2 linked regions of the Caenorhabditis elegans genome follow. The protein of the gene in region 2 interacts with the protein of the main gene of each other region in a pairwise test. Each region holds a gene or a part of one and is shown on either strand. Other genes may lie near its edges. The genes, in order: C06E4.2 and F33D4.6.

Region 1 (9,624 bases), 440 kb from region 2:
AAATTTTGAAAAATCCAGTTTTCAGTCAAGCACAAATGTAATAAAGCATTATACAAATATATTTGCTAAATCGCTAGTAAAACTGTGAATTCTAAAATCTCCGATATAGGTTGATTTAAAATTATTGTTTTATACTTTTAGAGAAATAAAATTACTGTTTCATATTAACTAAATAATCAAATCACCTAGAACAGTTCATTGTCAACTTTTCAATAACTTTGGCTTCCTTTTCTTAACTCTTAGTGAATAAAATATTTAAGAAAAATGAATAAAAAATCAAATTCAAGCATGATTTATTAGCTTAAAACAAAATTTGTTGAAATAAATCAGAGAACTTCCGCGTATACGGACGTTAATCTTTCATGAATACAGATGAACTGGAAACAAATTTGGAAAAAAAAGAAGAATAGACGAAATCACTTATTAATTCTGATTTGATGTTTTTTTTTCAATCTCAAATGACGATTTCAGAAAAGTGATCAGTGAAACACTGTTTGGAGGATTTTCTCAACGAAAAAAAGCCAAATTCCTTACAAGCGTTTACTGTTAGCTACCATTTTTAACCAGGAATACTGATCGCTTGCAGGAAATTTTTTCTATATTTCTAGAAGAGTAAAAAATGAAAAAAAAAACTAGAAAGCCCAAGAAAGTTAGATATAAAATAGTAAAAATTCCAAAATTCTAAACATAAGCTATAATCGAGACTTTGAAAAGCAGAAAAAATTGGAACGTGATCTGACTGAAACGCATTTGGAAATTTGAAGAAAGTCTAATAGTTCTCTGAACTTAGGCCTTAATGAAAATTGAAAAGTCATGTCTTGCCGTTGTACTCTCAGGAATCTCATCTCCGTTTCTTCGACTTCTTCTTCGTTTAAAATTTCGTCATTTCTGGTCATTCTCCGCCCTCCGGACGCTGTTAAATGAATTTTCGGAGGCCGTCTGTGCTCCAAGCTCGACTTGAGGATGACCCGATTTTATATCTATTTTTCCCTATTTTATTTGGGATGGGATGTTCTTTCCAAAATGACATTGAATCACGCAAGTGAATTCTCTAAAAGTTATAGAAACAAAAACATTTGAATTGAACAAGACGGAAATAAGAAGAAGAGCAAATATTTTGGGATATACATATTCAAAAAGAAAAGGAAACTTTCGCGTTCCAGGTCGAATTTCAAATTCCCTCGAGGACAGGAAGCAGGAGGCGATTTGTCAGATGAGATTATATTGAAAAAGTGGGGAAAATGTTGTTGTTTCCGACTGAAATGGATGGCGGATCTTATTTTTGTGAACTATGAGGATGTTCAGAGAACAGCCAACACAACATAAAAACCTAGGAGTTCCTAAAAATGAGGTTACTGGAAAAGAAGCTTCAAAATGGCACATAGTTTCATTTTCCAATAGAATAGTTGTTTTTGAGAGTTAATACTGGGAATCTTTACACTGAAACTCGATAAGTATGCATTTGCATTCTGAACGAAAGGTGTAAAAAACATAAAGAAAAAACCTATAACTCTTCAAAACTCGGCAGTTTTATTTTTATTCTTTGGCTTGAATTTTTTTTTGAAGCACCATAACGCTTCACACAAGGAAACCAATAAGGGCAATAAGGCCGCGGAGGCGCCTCCACGCTTTGACCGGACAGAGCGTCTATGAGTACATTTTGAGGAAATATCTATACATAGCATACTACGTAAGTACCTCTTACTGTAAAATCTTTAAAATGTTGCCTAAGCTCAAAAATCTTAGGAAGGACATAGATTCAAAACATTTTTCCACAGTTGCTAAGCTTTTATATACGTATCTTCTTTAGAGAGTTAATAAACAATTCTTAGGAAAGTCTAAATTTCAGACATAAAAACAAGATTCGAATTTATTCGAATGTTTTTTATTTCAAAAAATCACAGAAAAAAGACAGTTCGATAGCAAGAAAACATTCGGAGAATTTTTTTTTCGAGACTCTAGAATTGATTCATAGAAATAATTACCAAAAATGAGAATTCGTTTATTTCGATTGCCCAATTTATTTTCAAAAAAAAACGGCATGTGGCGATCTTCTGACAGCTGTTGTTTTCGAAAAAATTCAGAAAAAATCAATTGCAACTAATTTCATATTTCTTGTAGTTTTTCTCGAGTAGAGTTACACACTGAAACCATTCGTCACAAAGAATAGTTGTCTGGAACTAGCCAGGTGTTTTCAATAAAGCAATCATACTCTATACAAAAAAGTAGTTTGATGAGAGACAATAGTAACCAAAAATAAGTGAATGGCGCGAACGGACAATCTCAAGTATCTTCATCCGTTCTTTAAAATATATATTTGATTTATTGACAAAAGGATTTTATTTCATTGTTGAACGTACAAAAACGAAGATATAAATTTTCAATAAATCATATCCTAAACGGCTGAAACGGTTTCAAAACATTTTAATGTTACCTGGAAGAAAAAAAAAGCTAACAAATATTTTTAAAATTTAGCTTGGCGACAATGAAAGACAAATATTTATCGGATCCTGCTTGAAAGTGGGTCTAAAATATTACAAATCAATGGTTCCGATTTTTTAAAACTATTACTGGTATACCAGAATTATTTTATATTTGAAATGCTTCGTTTTCCTAATAAACTTTTTTTTTTACAAAATTACTTACAACTTTTGGAATTTTGTTGTTCGAAGAGTTCTTGTGTGTTCAAATTAAAAATCGTAGTTTTTTTAAAATAAAAACAGCTTCTTTTGTTTTTGGTTTTTTCAGATTTTTTAAAAGTTTATGTCGCGACACTGCTAGTTCCGAATCAAAAATAATACCGGACATCTAATTTATTTGTTTATTATATGGTTTTCTTTCAAATTTCTTGTTATTTCAGAACAAAAAAAGACACTAAACTGCAATGTAAAAGTGGAGAAGCGGATGTGATATTTGAAAGAAAGAAATCATTTATAAATTTTGATTTCTAATCTTTATATTCATAGTAGAGATTTATATTTGAGGAGTATGATTCAATTCATCTTTGTTCTTCATTTCTTTATTCCTTTTTCAACAAAAATTGAAACAGGAAGTTGATATTTATAGATTCTTTCATATCGTTTGAGCATATTTTTCTCTCAAATCTTGAGTTGGCGGACGGGGGGAACCTCGTTATGCGATTTCGGAAGACATTTCGAAACAAATTCCAACGGAAAACGGATGACAAGTAACTCAATTTGGCAGATTTCTCCACCAGGTTGCCACTCTTCTCCTCCTTTCCTCACATGTTTGTACATTACGCTTTTCTTGTCATTATATTGATGTTTCCGATAAAATCACTAGACCGCTTTATTGACACGGCGCTTTTACCGGTTCCATGGTGTAGCGGTTAGCACTCAGGACTTTGAATCCTGCGACCCGAGTTCAAATCTCGGTGGAACCTATCGTTTTTTGCACTTTAACTTCTCACGAAACAAATAGGTTAATTGATACTTTTTAGATTTTTACAAAAACAATTCCTTGTGTCTAGTGACCTTATCACTTGATGCATCAACCAGTTAATAAAGCCCATTAACAGTCAGGTTTCTCATACACAAATCACTAAACCACGTCGTAAAATAAAAATGAAGAAGACTAATAGCATAATAAATTGTACCAGGCAGTCGGTCAGCTCCCGATTTCAATATATAAGTGTCATTTGCAGATGAATAGTTGTCTTTTATTTTTCATTTCAAGACCATCGGCCACACACACACATATTTCTTTCTTTTTTTGAAATTCTAACCCGACACTTTTCCACACGCGTATCAGATTTCACGAACGAAGAGCACCACTTTCATGCCATTGACCGGTCTTGAAAAATCCGGTGGATCCCATCATAGTCTACAACTTTATATTATTGTTTTCTAGCCACTTTTTCGTGTCTGTATCCGGAACCGAAGTGCATCAAAAGGCTGTCAGAAAGCCGTCTCATTTGACATTCATACCCATAACATGTAATGGGTTTTCCCCGTTTTTTATGTTATGATGGAGTGATGATGTTGACAAAAGCGACTCGGTTTTCAGCAGGTAGTGCAACAAAACGTTCTGAATCATGCCATTTCTCATGTTAGGAGAAGCAGATTTTGACATAGATCTAATACTTGACACACTTTTGAGCTTCAAATATCGTAAAACAGTCACACAAACTTTGTTTTGAATTTAGGAAATAATTGTAAGTTTTTAAATTCAGTTTCCTAAGCCCCATTTAGTCTCCAATATTGTTTATTTTTTCAGATATGTGAACTTAGAACCTGGAAAAATGAGCACCAAAAACTTTAACGTAAATATGCAAGTCGTTTTGAAACCCGGGCTAAACTTTTACAAAAATACAGTGCAGGCTTCAGTATGAGAAAAATGCTCCAATATGAACATAATCCCGTATTGTTTCTCTCATATTCCCGACCTCTTGAAACAGGAAGTTGCACACTCGAATGAAGTGTATTATGATGTTGATGGTATTTGGTAGTGGGAAGTAAAAGTAGTATGCACTTCCCATCCACTTACCTGTTCCTTTTCTACATTATTGTGTTTTCCGGTCAAGTTTGATTTGTATTTACACATACATACATAATTCATGAACACCACTAGCAAATCTCTGTTCAGGTTATATCAAAGAGTTATTGGTTTGGGTATAACTGCATGTTCTACTTCTTCCTCACTCAAATGTCCTTGATTTATTGTGTTCCGCTTGTTTTTTGAGAAACTGTCGTATGTGTGTCTGTTGTGTTTCAGTTTGAACTGGAACCAGTTACAAATGAAATCCCACTGAGATCTCATCATGCCATTCCTTATGTTTTTCTTTCCCATTACTTGGGGCTTTTGGAAAAGTAAAACCAAAAGTTTTCGCACTTTCTCCCTCACTGACTTCTTTTTTTTTTTGGACAAAAAGTTCCTACCTTCATTATATATTCACATCTGCCAAGTTCCAAATTCACTTTTCTCTAATCTCCATTTTGGGAGAATATGTTTTTGAAAATGACAGAGCCTGGTAAGTAGTGTTCTATGAATAGGTTGACTATCAGTTTTAAGAAAGAAAATGTTCACAACGTCCAAATTTAGGTTATTAGAAAAATAAAGCACATACAGAAAAGAATGCTAATTGTCTTTACTTTTCTTTTTTTCGCTAGCCTGGGAATGAATAGTTTGATCTACTGTGTATAAACAACAAGCAAACATCTTATGATTTGAAACATTGAATTTTAAACCCAAAAATTCAGTTAGAGCTTGTGGAAAATAGAACATTCCACTAAACTACATACAGTGCGTACAAGTTCTATACGCCACCCCCCCCCCCCCAAAATATGCCCTGTGGCCACGTGTGTCAGTTTTGGTAAAAATCTGCTAATGCCATTCGATTCCAAATCTCAAAAAACCTACTGACATTTTTTTACAGAGTGATAGCTTCAAAATTGAAGTTACTAGGTCAAAAAAACGCAAAAAAGGCCGTACAACTTCTATACGCCACCCTGAGATTTTTGTTGAAAATCAGTGATATTGCCAAATTATCAATAACTGTTACCGTATTTTCTAACCTAACACAAAACAAATTACAGAATTATTTAAACAGAACCTACAACTTTGGCAGTTATAGTATGAAATGTAAGCATTCTCCTTTAGCACTGAAAAAAATTTCAGAATTTTTGGAGGGCTGGAACGTGAGATAAGGGCGCCATCAGTGGCCGGCTCCCAAAGTTGGCTTACAGGACCAAAAAAAATTATAAAAATTCTGTGACGTGAAAATCTTATGAGAATAGTTGAAATATACACGGGTACTCGAAAATTGGAGAACAATTAAAAAAGTTGGTCCTGAAAAGGTTGATAATTTGGCAATATCACTGATTTTCAACAAAAATCTCAGGGTGGCGTATAGAAGTTGTACGGCCTTTTTTGCGTTTTTTGACCTAGTAACTTCAATTTTGAAGCTATCACTCTGTAAAAAAATGTCAGTAGGTTTTTTGAGGTTTGGAATCGAATGGCATTAGCAGATTTTTACCAAAACTGACACACGTGGCCACAGGGCATATTTTGGGGGGGGGGGGGGGGGGGGGTGCCGTATAGAACTTGTACGCACTGTATGTAGTTTAGTGGAATGTTCTATTTTCCACAAGCTCTAACTGAATTTTTGGGTTTAAAATTCAATGTTTCAAATCATAAGATGTTTGCTTGTTGTTTATACACAGTAGATCAAACTATTCATTCCCAGGCTAGCGAAAAAAAGAAAAGTAAAGACAATTAGCATTCTTTTCTGTATCTTGCAAATAATTATTGATTTTAAACCCGTTTGTTTTTGTGAAGGCAGAAGGTAGATATGTATTTCTCGTATGAGCTCGCGTTCAATTTTTAATTGATATGTGAATGCACAAAAATGTGGTTCAAACTCATCACTCAAAGTTCACACTTTCAAAAACTGGTTCAGACTTTTTTTGTTGATTTTAATATTGTGTTACTTGAAAATTTATTAGGATGAACCTCCAACGACCAAACTTGTTAGTTTGTTGTCTGACTTCATTTTTTATTCAGTAGCTGGTCACTTTTGAAAGCATTTTGAATTATTCAAACCTAATTTGTTCTATCAAGATCACGCTAGGTGAATGTAAACTTGAGTGTTTGAATGGCAAATAAATATTTTTCTGTAGAGATCGTGTAATATTATTATTCACACGAAATACAAACCTTCTACCCGTTCCGTTTGCAAGAAGCTAGCATTCACAATTAAGTAAAACTATTTATTTACATTTAAACCAACCTTCTGACATCTGTTCTCTGGCGAATTGTTTGGATTTCGGATTACTGAACGAGAGTGTTTAGCTAAGCCATTAAATTGAGAAACTGGAAATGGTTATCTAGAATGCCTAAAGATTTTTTGCAAGTTTTAAACTCTAGGTAATACCATCTGGAATTTTTCGAATTTTTGCGGCTACGTGTACTTTGGTACCGTTCCCTCGAGATACTACATAAACATTTGACACTTTCGCCTACTCATTTTCTCCATTCACTTTCCAATATCGTTTCTTCGATCTTCGGCTCTTGCGATCTTCTTCACTTTCTTATGGTAATCGAATGCTATATGTGTAATACGAACCCAGTCACCTTCTTTCATACATACATACCAAAATGAATATATATCTCGGTGATCAAACAGTTTTCTTCTTTTGTTTGCACCTTTTTGGCCACTTGCTGTCACTTAGCCAACACACGTCAAATTGGTTGTTGTTGCTCCGTGGGATTGGTTTTGTAGTGACCCTCCCGTTATCATTAAGCTTTTTCCTTATCATTTAGTATTTTAGCCATAGATTTTTTTTCAAATTTTTAATTTTCTAGTTTTCAAGTTCCTAAAAAATTTCAGGATTTGAGAAAAAACTGAAGAGCCCCTTGTTTTTGTCAGACACATTCTTCCAACAAAAAATTCTAGATTTTCCAATTCTTAACGACTTGTTTACGTTTTCTTTCCGCGAAATATTTTATTTTTACTTGCTTCATGACATGAATTTTCAATGTAAAAATTATATGAATTCTTTCCATGAAAGGGTGTTCAAACGCCTATTGAACATTTGTTTGATACCCCTACGGGTCAAATGAGTTTACACTTGCCCTTTCATCGGATTCTTTAGTTACCCTTTTTACCTTTACAACGGTTAGGGTCACCCACCACCACTGCCTTCGTCCCCTTCCTCTATTACACGCTCTTTCAATTTGGAACCCAACAACCACTGTCCGGCGGCGCCAATTATCGCTCGAGTTGCAACCAACCGGGTGTCATTTTCTCTGGTAATGACTGACATAGGATGACTGAAGAAGAGAAAGAGAGTGAAATCCTCGATTACTTTGCGTTGAGGTTGTGACCTTTTGCGAAACGGAAATGTTGAATTTTGTGAAAGATGTTGACATGAAAATTGACATCAAACAAGTTTCAATGTTCTAACTGTACTAGTTTTTGATTTACTGCTTTATTAGTATTTAGTGCCAACTATTTTTTAACTAATATCTCTCTCTCTCTCTCTCTCTCTCTCTCTCTCTCTCTCTCTCTCTCTCTCAACAAAATTTTATCATTGAAATATCAGTACGAGGTTTCTTATCGATTTGTTAGAAGATATCCTATATAAACATGTACCTATTACTCTACGAAACCATTTTGTATGAACGATTGTGGAATCATCATTTACTATATATAAAGCGCTTATTCCGTTTGTCCATAGTTTGTAGTCTGTGTAGTCTTTGTAGTCTGCGAAGTTTTAGCTTCTGGAGGGATAGTGAGTTGGGGTTAGTGTAGGGATATAGTCGGGGTACTGTAGTGGTACAATGGTGGTACGGTAGGAGTACTGCATGATTACGGTAGTTTCAGAAAAATTGGTTTTCAGCTCCAGAAGTCGGGGGCACGGCTGGTATATATATATATTTTTTTTTTTTTAAAGAAGCTATTTTCTCATAGGATAAAGATTATCTTGAGATTAAACTTCTAGGAAACTGGCTAAATTTTAATCTATATTTTCCAAATTTTTATTAGATAAGTTTCTGAATCATTTAAAGTAGTCATTTAAAAAATATTAAAATAAGTTTGAGAAAAAAACAAAAAATCAAAAGTTCTTAACTTTTGAATACATGTGATAAGATAAAATTCGCGAATCTCAACTTTTCAAAAAAAAAATTAATGGAAAATTTGAAGTTAGTTTCAGCCAGTAAGAGGTCACTCTGAAACCGCCAACACATAATTGGTACAAGACAGAAACATAGAAGAAGTATAAATTAAAATTCCCTGACCGCAGTGACTTCTTGGTCACTGAGATCTACCAATTTGAAAGTTTTTCGAGCTACTTTTAATGTTCCAAATGCATATGTGTCCATTTCTCCTTTTACCGTATAAATAATAACACGTTTTTCATCATCTTCTTTTTTTGCAATGCATCTTTCTCGTTTTTTCACCAACATCTCCCCCTACCTACCTATTACTGTGTGGCGGCCATTTTCCACAAGCCATCCCAACCATTCTCATCGCCCACTAAAGTTTTGAGGGTTTTTCGTTTTAAATTGGCGGCTTGACTTTTCTCCCCCCACGCATGCATCTCAATCCCACAATCCGCTCCTGTTTTTACTACAAATCCGGTAGACACACACACAGATCCACGTGCAGTAATGAAAAAGAAAGATTCTGTTTTTCCAACAATTTATAAATTCTCATCCCACTTTTCTACGCTCTTGTAAATACGTATGCCAACTCGACCAGGCATCACCACATGAGAAAACGAGAGACTGTTTGCTCAAATGTTGATCTTATACTCTTGTTATACAGTCTTACGGCCCAAGAACTCTTTTTTTTCTCGATAAAAGACGAGATTTTTCAAGTTATTTTTGATGTAGTAACCAATTCCAATGTCTACCCAACCAATATCGAAACGAGCTTGAAGTCTGAAGAACTAGTTATCGTTAAACCGTAAATTGATGTATACTAGAACTGAAATGCAACATCAAACGGTTGAAACTACGGAGCCACTGAACGTAGCGAAGCCGAGTATATGAGGAAGTCTTGGTATGTCGTTGAATTGATATTCCATATTGTTGAGGCGTAACGGGAGCCTTTTACTTGCCCCACGCACTCTACCAGCCTCCCTTTTGTACAATTTTGAG
Region 2 (9,624 bases):
AACGCGTTTTTTTCTCGCTTGTTCGTATGTCTTCGTGATGTTGTTCTTCTCTTTGTTTTATGAGCCCATTTTACTAATTTATGGGTTTTTATGGCTAGTGAGTGCAGGTGGCCTCTCTCGGTTCTGCCAATTTATCTTCTCTCTCCTTCCTTTTTTGTTCCTCTTCATCTATTTCTCTACAACAAGACCTACTCTTAACTTTCTTGCTCAATTGAAAATCAGACACATTTTTTTATAACCGAGGCTTTGACAAATTATTTTTGCTTTAAGATATTTATGCGTCTAGACTTTTATTGTCAAGTTGGGTATACCTGAAAGTATTCCCAAAATATCTGAAATTTTTTAGAAAACTTTATTTTATTTATTTAAATTTCGTCTCGAAAAGTTTTGAAATTTTCAATATTTGGTGTTCTTTTTAGAAATGGCGTCATTCACATCACCCGACATCGATGAGAAGCTTGCAATTCTTCACAGAGAAATGGCATCTCTACGTGTCGAATGTGACCGTCTTCTCAACAAACATCTCATCGTTGAGCACACTCTTTCACAGGTAAACATAATTGTTTATCACTTGGAACACTTGGATTTATCACCAGTAGTTTCTTATTTTCACTAAGAGTCAGTCGTGAAGTTTTTATTGCTTGTTTTATAGATGTTTTGAACATTCACGGCGAACTTTACGAAAAAAAAACAAAATTACGTTTGTTCTTGAATAGTTTTTGTGGTTGTTTTTTGATAGCTGCACGTCCAACGGAAATAATTTTTGATGTAGTTCGCTATTTTAGAACTGTCAATACTTGAAAAATATCTATATGAATGTCAAAGTAACTTACTAAAAAATTTAAATCTACTCATAAATTATCTGAACTGACAAAACCGAAATTATTGATTTTAATTAGATTTGTTTTCCAAACACTTTGAGATATAAATATAACTGGCAAACAACAAAACTGCTCAACTCATCCAAAAAACTAAAAAAGCTTTAAAAATCCAGGCAAAGATTCTATCTGAAAAAAATTTGTTCTTGATTTCAGAGTTGCTCTGGTTGGCCGAACGGAGCTGCTGATACTTCTTCAGCGTACAATACGGGTGGTGAATCTTGTAGAAGTGTGTCAGTGACGCCCGATGGTGTTTTTATACCCACAACCAGGTTGGTTAATTACAATAATTACGCAATAAATATCTTTTTGATTTTTAAAGTAATTCTCAAATGATCCAGTCACAACCATCTCCACGAGTTCTCCGTCGAACTGTTAAGATGGCAAGTCCAGCAGTTCAACGACGTTTAGTTCCACAAAATCTTCCAACATCATCTTCATCTCGACCTCCAACAGTTCTACTTCCTCATGACAGTCCTGAACAACCCAGTCGACCAATTCACAGAATGCATCAGGAACTTCCGATTCCAGAAGATGTTGTGTCAATGGTGTCATCAAATAAAACTCAGAGATCTATTATCCGGGCTCCATCTGCCGTTTTTGGAGCATTAAAAGGAAGCAGTTTGAGGAAATTATCAATTTCTCGAAATATTCAAATGACTACTAAAGTCAATAAAGAAGAAAGTGATCGAAAAGAGAAAGAAGCTGAAGAATACGCGAAAAGATTCCGAATTCCATCGTATTCAGTTGTATTGAAAGAAGAAAAACGAAAAAGTTCTTTCCGAATTCCAGTTCCGCATTACTTTCGATCCTCAAAAGCGAAATCAAAAGTATATCAAGTTGATGCTCCAGATGAAGAAATTGAAGAAGTTATTGATGAAGAGAAAATGGCTGCAAAGACTGATTTGGGAGACACAACTGTTCATTACAAATGGAAAGTTAAACGAAGATGTGATGGATCAAGATATATTGTCAAAAGACCAATTCGAAGTCAAATTTTGAAAAAAAGAGAAGCACAGGTGTATCGTGAACGAGCACCAATTTCAACCGATGATGATGCAATGAGCGAATTAAAGGTTTGTCACTGAAAAATATAAATTAATCTGCATTTCAAATAGCTTTACTGATTCTTTTCAGCTTGGAAGGTATCACACGAAGGAAGAAAGAAAAAGGATATTGGAAAGAGAGAACACGAAAAAAATGTTGAAGCTTCAGCAAAAAATGATGGAAAAGGCACATCCGTCGGAGCAGGTAATGTTGTTTTCTTTTGAAAGAAATAGGTTTGTGGTGTGCCCTCACAAAAGTTTATTTTTTAATGAGGAAATTATCAACAGAAGTGAATACAAAAAGATTAGGCTTCTAGGCAGACATTGAATCACTCTCAATCATTATAAAATCCTACAGAGCAAGCGCGAAGAATATAGGTCACAATTAACCGGCATACAGGCCGGATAGATCAAACTAAAGATCTTGTGTGCGCGGGACCACTTTAATAGATCGGAACGTCAATTGGTGTCAATTTAATATTTTCAAAATCTTTTCGAAAACACACATTCTTACCCGATATAACATTTTTAATGCAATTTCAGTTTCACAATTAAATAAAAAATTAATTCACAAGATACATTTTTAAATAGGACGACTTTGAGATGACCAATACTAAAAGTTTGGACCAAATTATTTCGGAGTTACATTGAGCATGAAAGATAGAAATTTTCAGAAAGATCTGTTGAAATCTTTTACTATTGAATTACACTATTGTCGTTTCAAAGTCAGGAGTAACGTGTTGAACATTTTTATTCAAGAAAATATTTCAAATTGATATTTTGACTTTCCATTGTCACACTTAAAAAAATACTTAGCCAACATTTTGGAACAATTGAATGAAAGGTTACAAATTTAAAAATAATCTTAGTTTCTTACATTTATTATTTTTCATCTTCTTGAAACAATATTTTTTCCAGGTAATATATCAAATGTCACAACAAAAGCTTGCTCGCCAAAAAGACGCAATGGTAATGGATGAATTTGTAACAACAAGAGAAGTACTTTCAAGTCGAACACGCCCAGATGGTATTCATGGAGTTGTTTCAGTCACAACCGTATAAACATTCATATTTTCTCATATCTTCTCGAAAAGCCTACTTCACAAAATTACGGATAAATTCTTATTTTAATTCACTGTTTCAAACAATTTTTAAAAGACACAACCAATCGGCAAAATAATTTCATGTGACCTCAAATTCGTCCCACCTTTCGAATATCTACGAATTTTTTTAAACTCGCTGGTTTTGTATGCCGACCTGAAACTGTCAATTTTTTTTGAGCACTAATGGTGAAAAATATCGAGAGCGAATTTTTAAAAGAATATTATGGAGTTGTGTTTATATGTTTACATTATCTTTTTTGTTAATCCTGCAGTCTAATACAAAAATAATTCAAATCAGAAGCGGGAATGATTTTGAAGTAGAACAAGTGGATTTAATAAGGATTGACCAATCTCCCCCACGTCTACAAACTTAAAACATTTTCTCCTCGAGGAGGTCTCCGCCGTTTTGTTTGGTCATTCAAGAAAGCGAGTTTTTTGATAGTGTATGTTCGTGGATCGGAACACTTGATAACAGAAAAAGAATGGATGAAAATGAAAATGGAAAAAGTCGTTAGTAGTTTATTTCTGTCAGATAGAAACTAAACAAATAAAAACGAAATGTAAAGTAGTAATGAAGTTAATTGTGAAACGGAAAAACCATGCAAATCAGGTAAATGAGATTAAAGTGACCATATAATTTTGAAGTAAATCCAAGAACGCTTTCTTTTTTTGGTGAAATTTTTGAATTTGGATTATTTTTTCTAACTCGTGTTATAAATAACTTTTATGACAAAAACGATTTGAAGTTTGATAGGCAAAAATATCTTCCTACAAAGTGAATCGTAAATTGACAGAATCTTTAGGTACAATGAACTAAAATTCCATATCTTACATTGCTACGAAATGAACATAAAATCTACACATGTGGTTCGCCATTTTTAAATACTTTTGAGCACTAATATTTTAGATGCGTTTTTCAAATAGCTAGTTTTCCTGCGGTGACACCAAAATTTCAGCAATATTTAGTAGAGACCTCGGGAGGTGACAATTTCAAAAATATAAAATATAAAAATAAAAAATTCTTGATAAGTATTGCCCTTATTACAAGTGTGATAACTACATTTCATAAGTACTTTTTAACTGCGAAACATCTGTATAAAATACAAAAATAAGCTACGATATTTGACAAAGGAATTCCCGAAAAAAGTGAGTTTTCATCGCCACAAATTTATTCATAATTCTCCGAGACCTGATCTTGAAAATTGCATTCGATTCCGACACGTTTTTACGTGAAGATAAATGTTTTGTTGGGTCATAAACGGAAATATCTATCTCCGTACCTTATCTATCACTTAATTTAGCAGCTAACATAGCATCTTTTTCTTTCTTTTTTTTAATAATTTTCACGCATCTTTCTCTATATCTCTTCTATCCAGAATGTGCGTATTCAAAAACTGGCTTGTTTGTTTCAAGCGGTGGCGTCGTCGATTCCGATTCTCGTATTTCCCTATCAGGCTTCTCCTCTCGATTCTTTGCCCCCCTAAAAGAGAACTTGATCGAGACCTCTTTTTGCGAATATTCTTCTGAGATCTTGTGTGCGTTTCTCTTTTTGTTGCTGTTTCTTCCTCCCGCCTCCTGTGCCTTCATAGAGTCAGTCACAATTGGTGATAATAAGATACATTTCATTGTGTTTGAAACTCCCAATTTCATTCTTCATTAGGTGATTCTCTTATGTAGATTTGAGCCTTTGACTCTGAACTTTTTTTTTTAATTTTTACCGTTGAAACGCTAGAAAGTGATAACCAATCACCATATCCGGTGTTTGTTTCAAAGTATTATTATTGTTCTTTAGAATTTGAATCTAGCACCCTAAAACGGACAGTAGAAAATTTTGAAAATTCCAACCTTTTTTGGTGATAAAATTGTCGCTTACTGTCGCTTACCTATGCTTTTTGTTAGGCTAGTTTACCAGGTCCATCTACGCCTCACGTCCAAGAGTTAAGATTGGACAAAGAAGGAGTATCAAAGAAAAGACGGCAGGTTACGTTAGGATTACTGTAGAAGTTTTTCTACTGCTATACAATTATCCAGTGTTGCAGAACTCCTTTCACACTTTTCTCTACGCATAATCGAAGATTTGCAAGCCCACATTAGCGCATGCAAGCAAGATTACATGCTTATCTAAAAACCGATCGGGCTAATAGAAACCGTCATTATTATATATAATATCTTGTTTCCGTTTTTCGTCACTTATGCCTCATGCATCAAATTCACTCTGAATAGAGTGTGGAAAAGATGGACGTTAGCATTTTCCTAATAGTTCTCCTTCTCTCACTTCTAATTACCAACTTTCTCTCGGTCCACACGTAATTTTTCTATTTATTTATGTACAGGTAGCTTGGTGAAAGGGGCGGGATGAAGTAGCCGACAGACATTCCCCCGGGTTGAACGCTTCATTTCCTTTTACTTTTGGATTCTTTCCGGGGCTTTCTGGCGTTCATTCTTCTTCATTACCCATTTCATTTGGTACTTTTTGTTTGAACATCTGAGAATTGATTCTTGATTTTTTTTTTCATTTTGTCCAAACTTCGTGGTTTTTTTTTTGTTTTTTAGGACTAATTAGAATTAAATGTATGTTTCAGATGAGACATCTCTTTGTATTATTGCCAGCTCTTCTGGCAATTACTAATGCTCAAGATCATTCAATTGACATTCGAGCACTTGTACGAGATACAATTGATGCAATCAAAGAAGTTCCAGAGATGATGAAGAATCAGAATCAAACATCCACAAGTTCTACGCCAGACGTATCCACTCCTCAACCAGAGAAAGTTGTCAAGGCTCGCGAAGATGTTTATGATTCCCTTTTGAAACTTCCTTCTGATATTATGTCTCAACTTGCAAGAGATGCAGGATTTGTTAGCGAGAAAGATCAGAAGATTCAGAAAAACGCTGAAGTATCAGAGAAAAAGAAAGAAGAGACCGAAAGAGTTGAAAAGAAGAAAGAAGATGACGAGTCGTTCAGCTTCAAGACGGTAAGTAAACATTGACAGACAAGGCAAAGTACATCCGGGAACATATCCAATTGGGTGTGAAAGTTCTTCGCAATCTGTCATTCAAAAAAGTTATTGCTTTCACTTTCAAAGCATGCTAACTAAAATTGTTGAAACAAAACAAGCATTACAGGTAGATGACGTTAAAAAAGAAGAAAGAAAAGAAGAAATTGAACGTCCATCTGTTGCAGCAAAAGCTGATGATAATGAGGATATCTTCTCCATCTCAAGGTAAACTTTCAAGTTGAAGGTAACCTTAACTGTATGGCTTTGCATTCAAAATATTTTAATTGCATGTTTTTTTGCAAGATCAATAATAAGTGCTGGCAAAAATAGATAGATAACTGAAAAACTAGAAGTGTTAGAAAAACAAAATGCTGAAAAAATACATTTTCTTTAAACATAGTTGAACTTTTTTGCAAGCATTTATAGAGGTGTCGGAGTTTTCCTGCACTGCAATTTTAACTAATTATACTGATTTGAAAACCATTTTTAAATGTATATATTTTTCTTATTATTTTAGCTCTTCAAATATATATTTTGGGAACAAACCGTTTCCTGTAAAAACTCAAAACGAATTGAAAGTAGTCTTGTTTGGAAATTTGCATTGAACTCTACTAGTAACTAACTACAATAACCATCCATTCCAGACTTATATCAGCTACTGGAAATGCAATCAGAGAAGCACAGGCTGCTCAAGCTGCTCAGAAGCCGCAACAGACTCCACAACAGGAACCAATGATCACCTTGCCACCTCTTGTTCCATTGCCACCAGTACCACTTCAAATGCCCGCTCTTCACATGTAAGACAGCTAAATGTCATTTTGACTTCATCTTTTTCATGTTCTTGACGTTTGACACTCACTAACCAGCTAAACCGGTTTAAAAAGGGGGAAGTGAAAATGTCGGGTGGCGTTGGTCAAAGAAGAAGCTAAGAAACAAGGGTTTGTGAGTGACCGTTTGTCATATTTCAGACCAACAACTGCCGCTCAACCAGTCACTGAAATCATGTATCGTCCGGTAACCAGAGACGGAAAGACGTGAGTATTGAAAGCACACTGCTTGTCAAAAATGTTTTGTCTTTTAGTGTCTACGAACAGGTTGTTGTTTTGAAAGAAGCGAACGGATCAGTCAAAATTCTTCCAAACACCTTGCTTCAACAGTTACCTGAAGTTTCGACAAAGAGAGTAGAGATTAAACAAGTGGTTCGTCGGGCTTTGTATAATTGAATTATCGCGTTACCAATTTTTTTTAGAAATCCCGGTCTGAGGCTACTGAATTCTTGGCCCCAACATTCCCTCCAATGGTAAGTTAATATTTTTCATGAATTTCAATACTTTTGTTTTACTACATATTTGGAAAACGTTTTATCAGTATCACTTCAAAGCACGAATGACCAGGACTGCGCAGCAACAGTGTGCATGTTCTCCGTTATTTTACATTAAATTTCGAAGTTGTAATATAGAGAAATATTTACTTTATCTGAAAATGCGTTTTGTTTGATTTGGGACTGATTTGGACTGAGAAAGTGCTCAAAAATTATCTGAAAGTTGAAATTATCTGGGGGAACATTACCGAAAAATTGTTCGGCAATTTTCACCAGCAATTTTGAACTCATACGATTTTTGATTATTTTTCCAATTTATTCAAATAAAATGGTAGTTATTTTTCAATAAAGTAAATAATTGTCTATACTTTATCATTAAATTTATTGACAAATATCGGGGAACAAGTCCCACTGTCTTATTTTGTAGAAGTGCTGAAGTGGCTCCATAAATGCATCCAAGAAACTGAAAAATGAAAGTAAAAATTTGAAAAAAAAACCCACACAAAAACTACAAAGTATAGTTTCAATTCCATTATTTTCAGATCAACTTGTTCACTGATCCAACAACCACTACCACTCCAACCACTACCGAAGAACCAGAAGTCACGACAATTGAAGAAGTTGAGCAAGAGACAATTAAACCAAAACGCAAGTCCCTTCCAAGACGAAAGATTCATTATCTTGAAAAAAAGGGAAAAGACATGCATTCTCGTCAATTTGGAGCAAAAACTGTTCAGATGAGTGATCCAATCGATATTCAAGCACAGGAGGAACAGGAACCAGTCAATATTCTTCAAAAAGAGGTAAGTCTTATTTATTCTCTCTCTCTTCTTGGTATACTCTGTTCATTCTAATCAATCACATTTGCTAATCTAACACTTGTCTCAGGGAAGCATTCGTGTGTACAGCATCAATCGTAAAAGAAAGATTCGCAAACCACGTGTCGTCAAAGTTGAAGAAGTAACTTTTTGTTTTATGCACTTTTAGATGCCTTCGGATAAGTTAATTTTGGGGGCCTTTTTAATTTGCACTCAATTGCTGTCAGCACGTTAGCTGCAAATTCAACTAATAACTCATTTGGGAATATCTTTTTAGTTTAAAAATCCTCATTTTTATCATTTCAGAATGAAAAGGTTGAAGAGAAACCAGTTGAGGAGGAAGAAGAAGCAACGACTGAACCACCAAAGAAGAAGAGAAAGATGAGAAAGAGTCACAAAACATCAAAGAAAGAAAAGAAAGAGATCCGCAAGTTCCCAGATCTTTATGACGAGCAATGGAAGACCCAAGTGGCTCCAAGTGTTTCCCCACCATCCGAAGAGTTTGCTGAGCAATTCGATGGAGTTGATGAGGTTCAAGAGAGCCCAAAAAGACAGGAAACAACCCAACAAGAAGTTCAAAATGATACTCCAATGAATGATGCTATCGAACAGAGAAGCAGCAAGGTTCAGATGTTGACAAAAGAGCAGGAAGAAGAACTTTTGAATAAGGAGGTTAGAAAGAGAGTTATGAAGAGAATTCGTCTCTCAAAAATGAAGACTACAACCACAACAACTACTACTGAAGCTCCAACAACTACACCAGAAGAAGAAGAGGAAGAAGTTGTGACAGCTGCCGTGGAACAGGAAGAGGAAGATGATGTTATTGAAGCAGAAGAGTTAGTTGAAGATGAAGAAGAAGATGTAACAACCACCACCACCACTGAAGCTCCAGTTACACGTGCTCAACGTGTCAAGAAAAACAAAAAGAGAGCTGTTGTGACAAAGCATCAATGCTTGAACCTTCGTAGCTTCGCACGTCAATTCTTGTTTGATACCGTTGAAGAGTTCGCAAAAGAGCACTGTTACTTTATTGAGAACTATTATCCAGCACTAACATGTGCTCGTTCTCATGCTTATGTTGCCAAGTGCCAAAAGTGGTTGAAAGAGGAGTAATTAATTAATACCTTTATATTAATTTTTATTTTGATTTCGATCCAGATCTACGTGTATTTGTTTGTAATATTTTCTCCATCTTTCTGCCCTTGACTTTTGTGCAATTTTCTCAAAAACTTTCTCATGTTAATAAGTGTGCAATATGTGCAATAATTCATGGTTAATAAATGGTTATTCAAAAGAACATAATTCTCGTATCAGAGGATCCAATTGAGCAATATCTAGTCCATAAAACACACGAAGTAAGGTCCTATTCACACGATGAAGCTCGACGACTTGATTCAGAAGATTACTGTATGCAATGTCAGCACGTGATTTACCATATTCAAATGTAAGAAGTCTGAAA

Evidence for each region.
Region 1: the proteins of F33D4.6 (region 2) and C06E4.2 interact in a two-hybrid assay, tested with the Caenorhabditis elegans proteins (one large-scale study listed by BioGRID).

What each region holds. Positions count from the first base shown.
Region 1 is NC_003282.8:7,271,996-7,281,619, forward strand, and holds the start of C06E4.2 (uncharacterized protein), read left to right. Parts: upstream 1-4,965; coding exon 4,966-4,990; intron 4,991-8,966; exon of another isoform or gene 8,967-9,108; intron 9,109-9,346; exon of another isoform or gene 9,347-9,526; intron 9,527-9,624.
Region 2 is NC_003282.8:7,713,995-7,723,618, reverse strand, and holds F33D4.6 (aECM cysteine-cradle domain-containing protein), read left to right. Parts: upstream 1-5,602; 5' UTR 5,603-5,609; coding exon 5,610-6,002; intron 6,003-6,153; coding exon 6,154-6,251; intron 6,252-6,670; coding exon 6,671-6,823; intron 6,824-6,994; coding exon 6,995-7,060; intron 7,061-7,107; coding exon 7,108-7,225; intron 7,226-7,275; coding exon 7,276-7,326; intron 7,327-7,889; coding exon 7,890-8,150; coding exon of another isoform or gene 8,151-8,201; intron 8,202-8,235; coding exon 8,236-8,307; intron 8,308-8,471; coding exon 8,472-9,278; 3' UTR 9,279-9,449; downstream 9,450-9,624. Other genes in the region: pzls-1 (PEHE domain-containing protein), read left to right, coding at 422-550, 1,035-1,150, 1,201-1,954, 2,016-2,129, 2,843-2,986; Nuclear hormone receptor family member nhr-8, read right to left, coding at 9,450-9,618.